Ovis aries: one gene and its partner. The main gene of each other region encodes a partner of the protein of the gene in region 2 in a complex. Links are inferred from orthologs where the notes say so. Each region holds a gene or a part of one and is shown on either strand. Other genes may lie near its edges.

The links.
Region 1: RALGAPA1 (region 2) and RALGAPB share a complex: the UniProt entries of both Homo sapiens proteins name them as parts of the heterodimeric RalGAP1 complex. The link is inferred for Ovis aries from reciprocal best matches to the Homo sapiens genes RALGAPA1 and RALGAPB.

The regions. Positions count from the first base shown.
Region 1 is NC_056066.1:67,421,754-67,426,973, reverse strand, and holds part of RALGAPB (ral GTPase-activating protein subunit beta), read right to left. Parts: intron 5,071-5,220; coding exon 4,956-5,070; intron 4,585-4,955; coding exon 4,437-4,584; intron 2,620-4,436; coding exon 2,555-2,619; intron 1,317-2,554; coding exon 1,187-1,316; intron 1-1,186. UniProt on the Homo sapiens protein: Non-catalytic subunit of the heterodimeric RalGAP1 and RalGAP2 complexes which act as GTPase activators for the Ras-like small GTPases RALA and RALB.
Region 2 is NC_056071.1:43,524,029-43,528,333, reverse strand, and holds the end of RALGAPA1 (ral GTPase-activating protein subunit alpha-1), read left to right. Parts: exon of another isoform or gene 1-1,285; coding exon 1,286-1,434; 3' UTR 1,435-2,629; downstream 2,630-4,305. UniProt on the Homo sapiens protein: Catalytic subunit of the heterodimeric RalGAP1 complex which acts as a GTPase activator for the Ras-like small GTPases RALA and RALB.

The DNA.
Region 1 (5,220 bases), on a different chromosome or scaffold from region 2:
TCAGTTAATAATAAATTAGGACAAACTAAATTGAATTTATGAAGGAAGCTTTAGGGACATTATACCTGTCGATCCTATCAGAAAGAGGGCAGTGACAACAGAAAAAGGAATGATCATTAAAGAGAGACATTCATGCGACACTAACACAAATCTGGATTTCTTAGTAAAAACTATTTTATGACATTACAAGCAGAACTCACTAACACCAGTTCAAAATACTGAAACAAACAATAACCACTTCAAACATTTATATTAGAACACATATAATAATGCAAAAATTTCTTTAGTTTAAAAACATTTTAGAAGCAAGAAAAATAAACAAATTTTCACCTATATTTAAATACAAGCATAACGAATACAATAACAATTCAAATAACTTCTTCATAAATGCAATATTTAAATGTGTTAAATAACCACACAATGACCTTATGTATCTGACAAGCTGAAGGATACTTATAGCAAACTTAAATCACTGAAACATGCCTGGACTCCCGGGCTTATAAACTCTCCAAATGATTAAAACATTAAACTCCATCTAAGAAGTTAGATTTCATTCCAATCTAGTTGGATTAATAATCTTAGATTCAATATACCATTAGTATTTATGCATAAAAACATAAAGGCACCCATAAACTCAACAAAATCCAGAAAGCAACTGGCCATGGTAAAGGACATTATTGAATAGGATGCTCTACTTGCAAATGCTTCCTTACTCTTTGTGACTGAAGAATCTAACCAGACATAGTAGGGTACACAGGCTTCAAACACAAAGGCAGACTCTCCTTTGGGTTGCCATCTAATGCATAAACCATCCTCACTACACTGCAAAAACTGAAACACTGACTGATTCTGCCATTAGACTCTGAGGCAGTGCCTAAATCCTATTTGATTCTGAATTACTAGCACCTGGTTATAGAATTCAGAAATGCTTCCTATAAATCACTTATAAAACCTAAGAAACTATCCAAAATCTAACTACTAAAAACTGTAGAGCTAAATTTAAAAGATCTGTTTTCCTTTTCATAATGTTTTAGACTAATAGCTTCTCTGTTATATTAAGTACACAAAAATTATGAACATGAAAATCTAGTTTAAAATTTCTCTGCTTGTTTTATATATCTGGGCATTGAAAGTTATTCTATAACTTAAGATTAAAAAAAAACAAACTAAACTAAACATGGCTTACCATAATCTCTCAGGAGAGCTTGAGCAGGTCTTTCACTGTCAGGAGTTGTGGGTTCTGTGCTTCCACCACTCGCTGAACTAATACCACTATTTGTGCGACTATGACTCTTGAAGTTATTTTCTCCACCACCCTAGTCAAAAAAAAAAAAAAAAAGAATCAAATATGCAAATATGGACAGAAGCCAATCACTAAAAGCCATGTAGGTAAAATGGAATGTGCCAGCTAAATAGCACAAACTGATACATAGATAAAAATTGACAAAGGATTAAAACTGTTGTGGTATTTTTTTATATAAACAGGATTAAAACTGTTGTGTTTTTACATAAACACCATTTACTAGTGGTATCAAGGGTCTGATGATTAGAGGCTGCCCATTCTGGAATCATCTTTGCTGCTGTTTAAAAGGATCAGACTATTTCCACCTTCACTAGACTTCAATAGTTAATGGTTCTGGGTCTGTAAAAAAATACCCTAGTGCCTTCCAGAAAAACTTCAGAATAGGAATACATCTTAAAAAACAAAACACAAATAAATGACTTTCCAATGTTACATAAAATACACAAACAATAAATATATGATTAGTATATATAGCATATATTAGTATAGATAGATAGATAAAGATCAACTCATATGTACAGGAGCTAATGAAGGTATCTGCTAAAGACTTCCCTCATCTCCCCTACAAACACATTTCATCTTATCCATGTAAGGTGACTGTTATTAGCCACCTACTGGGACGTGAACATAATTTCCTTAATAGTAATTTGATCACCCATCCTACATCCACTCATCTCACCCCAGCATACTCGGTTAATTCCCTGCCTACCAACTGCCTGCCTCTATTCCAGGTAGAGGCATCACACATCTTGAAGACAGAAGCAGGGAGCATTGGAGTCTCTGGAAAGTATTTCTGATTTAGAGGCACTGGTGCTTTGGGAAAACCTTCAAACTTTGGTCTAGAGGGACAGAAAGAGCAGCTGAGATCAAAAAGGATAAACTAGATGGTGTTTACAGCAAACACTACATCTACTACAGATACATGGAATCAGAGAATAAGGGAATTTTTCTAGATTATTCAAGCCAATTCACCAACACAGCAAAAGATATAAAAGCTTTAGGTAAACACTGTCCAGGAGTAAAGACACTGTTTAGCTGGAATTTCTCTCCCGAAGAATCTCTCAGGGACCTAATGAGACACTGAAAGGTAAGAAACCTCAAAACAGATAATATTTTTAAAAGGACCCACTGAATCAATGAGCTGAATCTACAAATGCCTTTAAGAACACAAGGACAGACATTTTGGAATATAATTCACATAAAAACAGAAGTTGATATTCTCTGACTAATTACATATTGTATGCTTCTTACCATCTCCATTTGGCAACCAATAGCTTCTAAAAGTGCTGAATCTTGAACAATATTTAACATTGCCCCTGAAACAACAAAAAAATACATTTAAATACATGACAAGAATATGAAAATGTACAAAATATCTCAATTAACAGCAAAGATAAGAATATGATTTTAGCAGAATATTCCTGGAAATTCCATAAGATTACTGATAAATCCATCAGTTGGTCAAAAAAGAAACTCTTCAAAAATGACCTAATTCTGATCTGCCCCCCAAATTTTAAAATGACATTTTTCTAAAATAAATCTGAATGTCAAACTTTGTTTTGTATAAAAACATGACCAATTTTTAAATTGGTGTAAAAGACTAGATGTAAACATCTCAATTTCAAGGGTAATATAAACTAAGAAAAATATTATGGAACATTTTAAAAACCAGATTCTGATCTTTTCAGTATAAAATAACAAAGTGAAAATCCACAGCTGTATCCTTCTGACCAACTAACTGCTTTTTAAGAATGCTTTTAGGGCTTGCCCACAGCTGCATATTCTGAAGGCAAGCCGCATGTATTTATCACCAAGGAACTCACAGCCCTAGAAACTAGTAAAGAAACAAGACGGTGAACTGTGCACTCCTCGTCCCAGTGGGGGAGTGCTCCCGAGCACTAGGGATAGAGAGAACAGTTAACAGTTTTGCCAAACTATGCAAGAGTGACAATTGGCTCTTCCTTGGAACATACAAGGGGAGCTTCTACAGAACAAGGATAAAGCAGAACTAAATACTCCATCAACTGTAGAAACTATCTGATTTCAACTGATATGTGTTTTAAACAATCTAAAAAACTACAACTTGGAGGCCCTCTCATATTGAGCTTTAACCTCTGTTCATTAAACTCCTTTCCAAAATGAAAGGATTTACTCTTCTATTTATTCTCCCTTCTTGCTGCATAACACACTATAATTACGGGGCACCCACTCCGACCACTACTGTCACCACAAATTCTCCGGCCTTGCTGTTTCCCCTCCTGAAATGAAATCCTAACCTCACTGGTGCCTATTCAAATCCTGCCCTTTAAGATCCAATCTAATTTCCACTTTCCCCTATGAAGTTTCCTTGCTCTTTCAGTTTATTCTCTCTCAACACTAAAGACATCCAACATGACATGCTATCAGCACTGCCTTCTGCTGTTATCTGAGTATTCTGAGAAGGTGTTTCAATCTCTGCAATGAGACTTGCTCAAGGATAAAAGCTGTGCAATTTGCTTCTTTCTCCTCAGAGTACCTATACTTAGGACCATGCCCTTAGATTTGATTAAAAACCAAAGAAGTACAGTAAGAGACAGCTGCAGTAACCAAGTTGAGAGGTGATAAGGGTTTAAAATATAGAAGTGGCGATAATGACGAAAAGTCATTCACAACAGTATGATTAGAAAACCAGTAGGAAACAATAAGGGAAAAGGGAGGAGGCAGAAACAGTTACTCCTCAGTCTCCTCTTGGCAGGTTCTGTCATGACTTCCACAATTACACCCAACTCCAAACAGCCTTGCATGTACTAACGGGCAGGAGGAAAAGGCAGAAGTAAAAGTAATGATGGCAGAGAGGAAAGGGGAGAAAAGGGGGACGCAAGGAGAGAGGAAGGGCAAGTGGGGAAGAGAAAAATAAAGAACACACAAAAAACTAATCCAACATGACCTACCAAGACAACTGATGCGTTCCTTCCCTCATCTCACCTCTTCAAACTTTTTTCAAGTTTAAGAGCAAACAATTCTGCCTCTGATTAAGAATTAAGTAGGGCTGTACTTCGCTTAGGTTCCTATCACTGACCCCCTGCCTCAAGACGCCTGAGATCAACAACAGTATCTGGGTTTCCACTTACAGAAAAAATGTGTGAACACAAACCTAGTATCATTTGAGTGTTGTTGGGGTCCGTTTCCGTTTGCAAGGCACCTATTAGTATATTCACAAGTCTCAGCTTCAGTGACAAAAAAGTTATTGGTTTATCATAAGAAGAGCTGTCATCATTACTAAACTTTCCTTCCAGGACTACCTGCGGAAGAAACAAATAACATTTAATATCACCTGCTGCGGCACACTACAGTCCTGTAGGAACTGCTACAGTGGACAAAGAGAGGATCAGTCCAACGAGCAGGGCTTTCAGTCTGACTGATGGTAGCCAACCGTGCTAAAGTCTATCACTAACTTACACAACATAGGGGATCAGACACACTAGCCTCTCCCCACGTGAAATAGTAGAACGGCTGAGTGACAGAAGAAATACCTTCGCAAATCAACTTTGCTGATTCACCTGAAATAATCTGAAATTTTTAAGAAAGTTCCAGTTCCATCTTAAAAAATATATATTGACTTGAATTAGCACACAAAACATAAATAATAGAAAAAACTTTAATAAAATCTTACCTCAGATTTGACTGTGCCAAAGTGATGTGGGAGGGGCAACAAAGAAAGCAGGATATTAATGGAAGATCGTCTCAGTTCTGTTGGGTTTACATAGCTTTTGAATTTTGAGAGTTCTCTGCAAAAAAAACCCAAAAGCTATTAGTATTTCTGAACTGAAGTATGTTTTTAGCTATTGCCATATATATGTATTACACTAATTTTTCACAATACAAGTACTGGGTTTGGTTTTACAGAGAATGCAGAAACTACTTTCCACTGAGTTTAT
Region 2 (4,305 bases):
TTAGTGATAAAATATTTTTTCCTTGACAATATATGCTTGTTCTTGAGTATACTATTTGACCTTGAAAACATTTTGAAGTGTTCTATAGAGATACATTCTTAATTTCCTAAGACATCTCAGTAGGATCTGTACCCTTTATTGAATGGTTTTGTTTCTTTATAAATATTCATACCTTCAACTTAGGCACAAGTGTTTCATTATATGGAAGCAGTAGTATAAGTATTCCCAAGCTCAGAGTGTCAGTGAGGAGTTCCAGTGGCTAACAGATGTGCCAAAAGTTTCCTACAGAGTAAGGAGCTGTGTCCATTGAAGCCTGCAGCCTGTGTCATGCACCTTTGTTTGTGACACACATAAAGATAATTTTTATGTACATAAAACAAAGGAAACCTGGATTAAAGTGCCTCAAAATATACAGAATGTTAAAAATTTTGTTATTTGCGGGTTTTTTCAGGGGTTTTTAGTTTTAACGAAATATTTGAGTGCCTATAGTGTGCAAAGTGTGTAAATTAGAGAATCATAATTCATAGACATAACATACAAAAGTGAAGAACTACTTTGTACATGATACGAAGAATTTTCCAATTCGAACTCATTTTTTTTGCTGCTTTCAAATATTTAAATCTACTGACTCTACTGGTAACTAGAGAAGTTTAAGAAAATGAGCATTACTTATCTCTTCTAAATTGAGACACTTTGAGAGAGCAGTTTTTTCTTTTTGAACTGACTTTCAGATGAGAGATCTTGTCTTCACCCTCCTCTCCCCCCAGAATTTATCCTGTTCCTTCTTAAAAACATATTTAAATTTAACTTCCTAGCATGTTTAATGGTCTCATACTACTAAGTCCCTTTTGGGAACGCTTGGTGCTGTTTTATTTTCCAGTTTGAGCAGTGAAGGCCCTTTTGTTGATTATATTCTGTACCCAAGAGATAGCAATTGGTCCTTCTCACCTGCTTCTTAAGCCCTCATGTGCATGCTGATGGTGCTTTGGATCCTTGTCCTTTCTGTCCTAAAGATCTTGCTTCCCATTGCTTCTTCTGGGGAGCTCTCTGGTTGATTCTGGTTCTGGAAATAATGATTGGTGCTTTCTGGCTACTATGATGACATGAGCCCCCAGATCACTGGGTTTTAAATAAAATACTAGTAGACTTTTGTAACAAGCAAATTTGGGGCTTGCTCTTTCCTCTCAAAAGACCTCACTAAGGTCTTTGGATCTGTAGCAGAGAAGTTACTCTTATAGGAGGAGAGCCAGAGGATTTGCACTAATGCGCTTGCTGTTTCCCACAGGCTCCTACCCAGAGATCCTATCCAGTGAAACTCCCACAGCGGCGCAGGTAGACGGGGCCGACCTGGCCTCTCCAATGTCTCCTCGAACGAGCAAAAGCCGCATGTCCATGAAGCTGCGTCGCTCCTCTGGCTCCGCCAATAAGTCCTAAGGAGACAGCAGCCTGGCAGTGGTCACCAGTAGCCACCTTAGCATGAACATGGCGTTAACCCTTCCAGGCTTTGTGTTTGCCATAATATGCATGTTCCTTCCTGAACATTTATTTTAGAAAACACTGGATTTAAATAATTTGTAACTTAGTATTTTAGATTTGGGTTGTTTATTCGGTTGGTTTTTTCCCCCACACTCCACGCTGCCATATGGGGGGTAAGGGGTGAAGCTTTATTCTATACCCTTTACCTTCCCTCACTAATTATGTCCAAGTAGTTTTACTTTGAATTTCATAATTAAATTTGAGCCAAAATATAATTGGACAGATAAGCCTCATGATTTTATCGTGCCCCATTACAACTTTATGGCTCAGTAAATATATAATTTTTTAATAAATGTACATCTTTAAACATTTGTAACGTTGTGGCAAAAGTTACAGATCTGTTAATACACTTGATGTGTATGGATTATTTATGTTATCGAAATAAACGACTTAAAATAAATGGTCTTTTAGCTTCTCAAGTTCCAGCTGAAATAAGTTTAGCATTACCTTTTTCTTCCCAAAGCAGTGTCTCATTTCTCGGCTGTGTAGCAGGTGATGCCATGACATATCTAAAACCAGAAAAATCACTGTGCTGGACTCTGATTCATGTTTAGCTTCCAAATATTTTTCTAATGTTTTGCTTTTTAAATGGTATCACTGTTAAATGCCACTTCTGTTTTGAGATTATGGCCCCTTATTATTGGCTGCTGGACCCTGGTATATCTATGTTCTTTCTTAAGTACCGAAAAGGGAAGAATGAGGTGGGGTGGGTAGGAAAAAAAGAAAACTTTTCTAAGTGTGTGGCTTAAATTATGTGTATTATTTTAAAAGAAAAGGGAACATGACCCAGGAGTCTAAATTAATCTAATATTGTTAATACTGAACATGCAGGTGCAGGTTGGTATACATTCCACCCTCCACAAATATTTTCCTACAGTAGATAAGCTGCTCACATTTTGCTCACGTTTTTTTTTTTTGAACGAGCATCTCCTAAGGAAATGTAGCATGACATTGGTACTAACTGCATGTGTAAATACATCATATCGGCAAACTATAAAATATAAATTATGTATCATCATTCATGTAGTATCTACAAATTTGTAACAGTGGAAAAAAGATGGTATTTAATAATACAATAAAAATATTCTTATCATTTTGTGTTCATGAGTGGTCTTTTATATTTTTTCAGACTTAATAAGCAGGGCCATAAAGCATGAAAAACTAACTTAACTAGGCTTAACTAATCATGAAAAACGAATTTTAACTCTCTTCTTTGGATACACCCCATTTCTCAGAGATCCTACCACAGTTACTAAAAATAGATTTTTCACTTTTCATAGCATCTCACCAGAAACTTCCTCCAGTGCACTTGGTTAAAGCATCTATTTATCTCACTTTCATGCTTCTTTGGTTACTTAAATTTTACTTTTTTTGGTAATATATATTCAGGAACAAAACTTTTTACAGTTTGTAAAGGAAGCTTTCAGAGTTCCTGTGCACTTAAAATTTTGGATTTCCTTATAGATAAAAACAAATTCCTAAGAAACTATGTAGAAAATAAACTAAAATTCCCAGTAAAGCTTATATAAAGGATAAATATGGATAGAGAGAGCTCTGAGAACAAGATTAAACAATACAGTTTCCCACAACCAAAATGAAGAACTGCAAAAAAGATAAAATACCTACTTACAAATTTCTGTAGTGCTTTTCCTTTTTAAAAAAAATGAACAAGTTAATGGTTTGATAATATGTAACAAATTGGAGTGAAAATACTAACTTAAAAATACTGAAGTTAATTAGCACAGTTAACATTTTACTCATCTTCAAATAATTCACTAGTTTTGAAAAAAAATATGTAAAATATTTTCTGTTGACATTTTTGGGTGGTAAAGTATCTTTAATATTTGAAGAATAGTACATATCCCTTGCTTTTTGGAGTTCAGTCTATGCAGCCATACTTCCAAGGAAAATCTCCCATTTATGCACCATTATAATCATTTACAAAATATAATTTCTTTTGTCTGTATTCCAACTAAATGGATCACCAAGATTACTGGCTTTGGGGAGATGAGAAGTGTGGCATTTAGAAACAGGCTGTGTTCAATGGGATTCTTTAGACAAACAACGCAACAAAGCACCAGCTATGTACATTTATTTGGTGGTAAGCATCTTACAAATAGGGGCTACCTGTCCAGCAGTACTCAGCCAGTGTTCCAAACTCTGGCTATTAGGGCATAGGTACAGAATACATGCTAAATATGGTTTACAAAAAGAAATTCAAAACCAGATTGCTGCTGAAATAATGAATTGCCATTCATTTTCATAGTGGGTTATAAGTATTAACATCTTTCTTAAGCTGAACATAGTGTCATATATAATACACATTATAAGATTTACAACAGAAACATTAAAACAAGTTGGATGAAACCCTACTTAAACTGAAACTTTAGGAAATGAGTTCTGTATTTCCCAAAAGCTTATATTAAAGGTTTAAAGTATCTTCCTGAATACTGCACACAAAAGGGCTAGAGGTGAGAATCTGGGAGGGCTCTCAACTCCTTTCAGTAAGAGGCGTTATTCCCCACCTCCAGACACCAGCCTCAGAGTGTACTAAGCATTGAGAAAAGGAAAGTTTACAAGGAGATCTCCACATCACCCAAAAGTGCGCAAACATCTTACATTTCCTTTCTTACAAGACACTGGTCTTGTATTTCCCACCCACCCAATGTAAGTTTGGCACCAATCACATAACTGTTAATTCACAGAATATACAGTGCAAGACGTCTGACCCCATTGAGACAGAAACTACAGAGGCGCTTGCGATGGCTA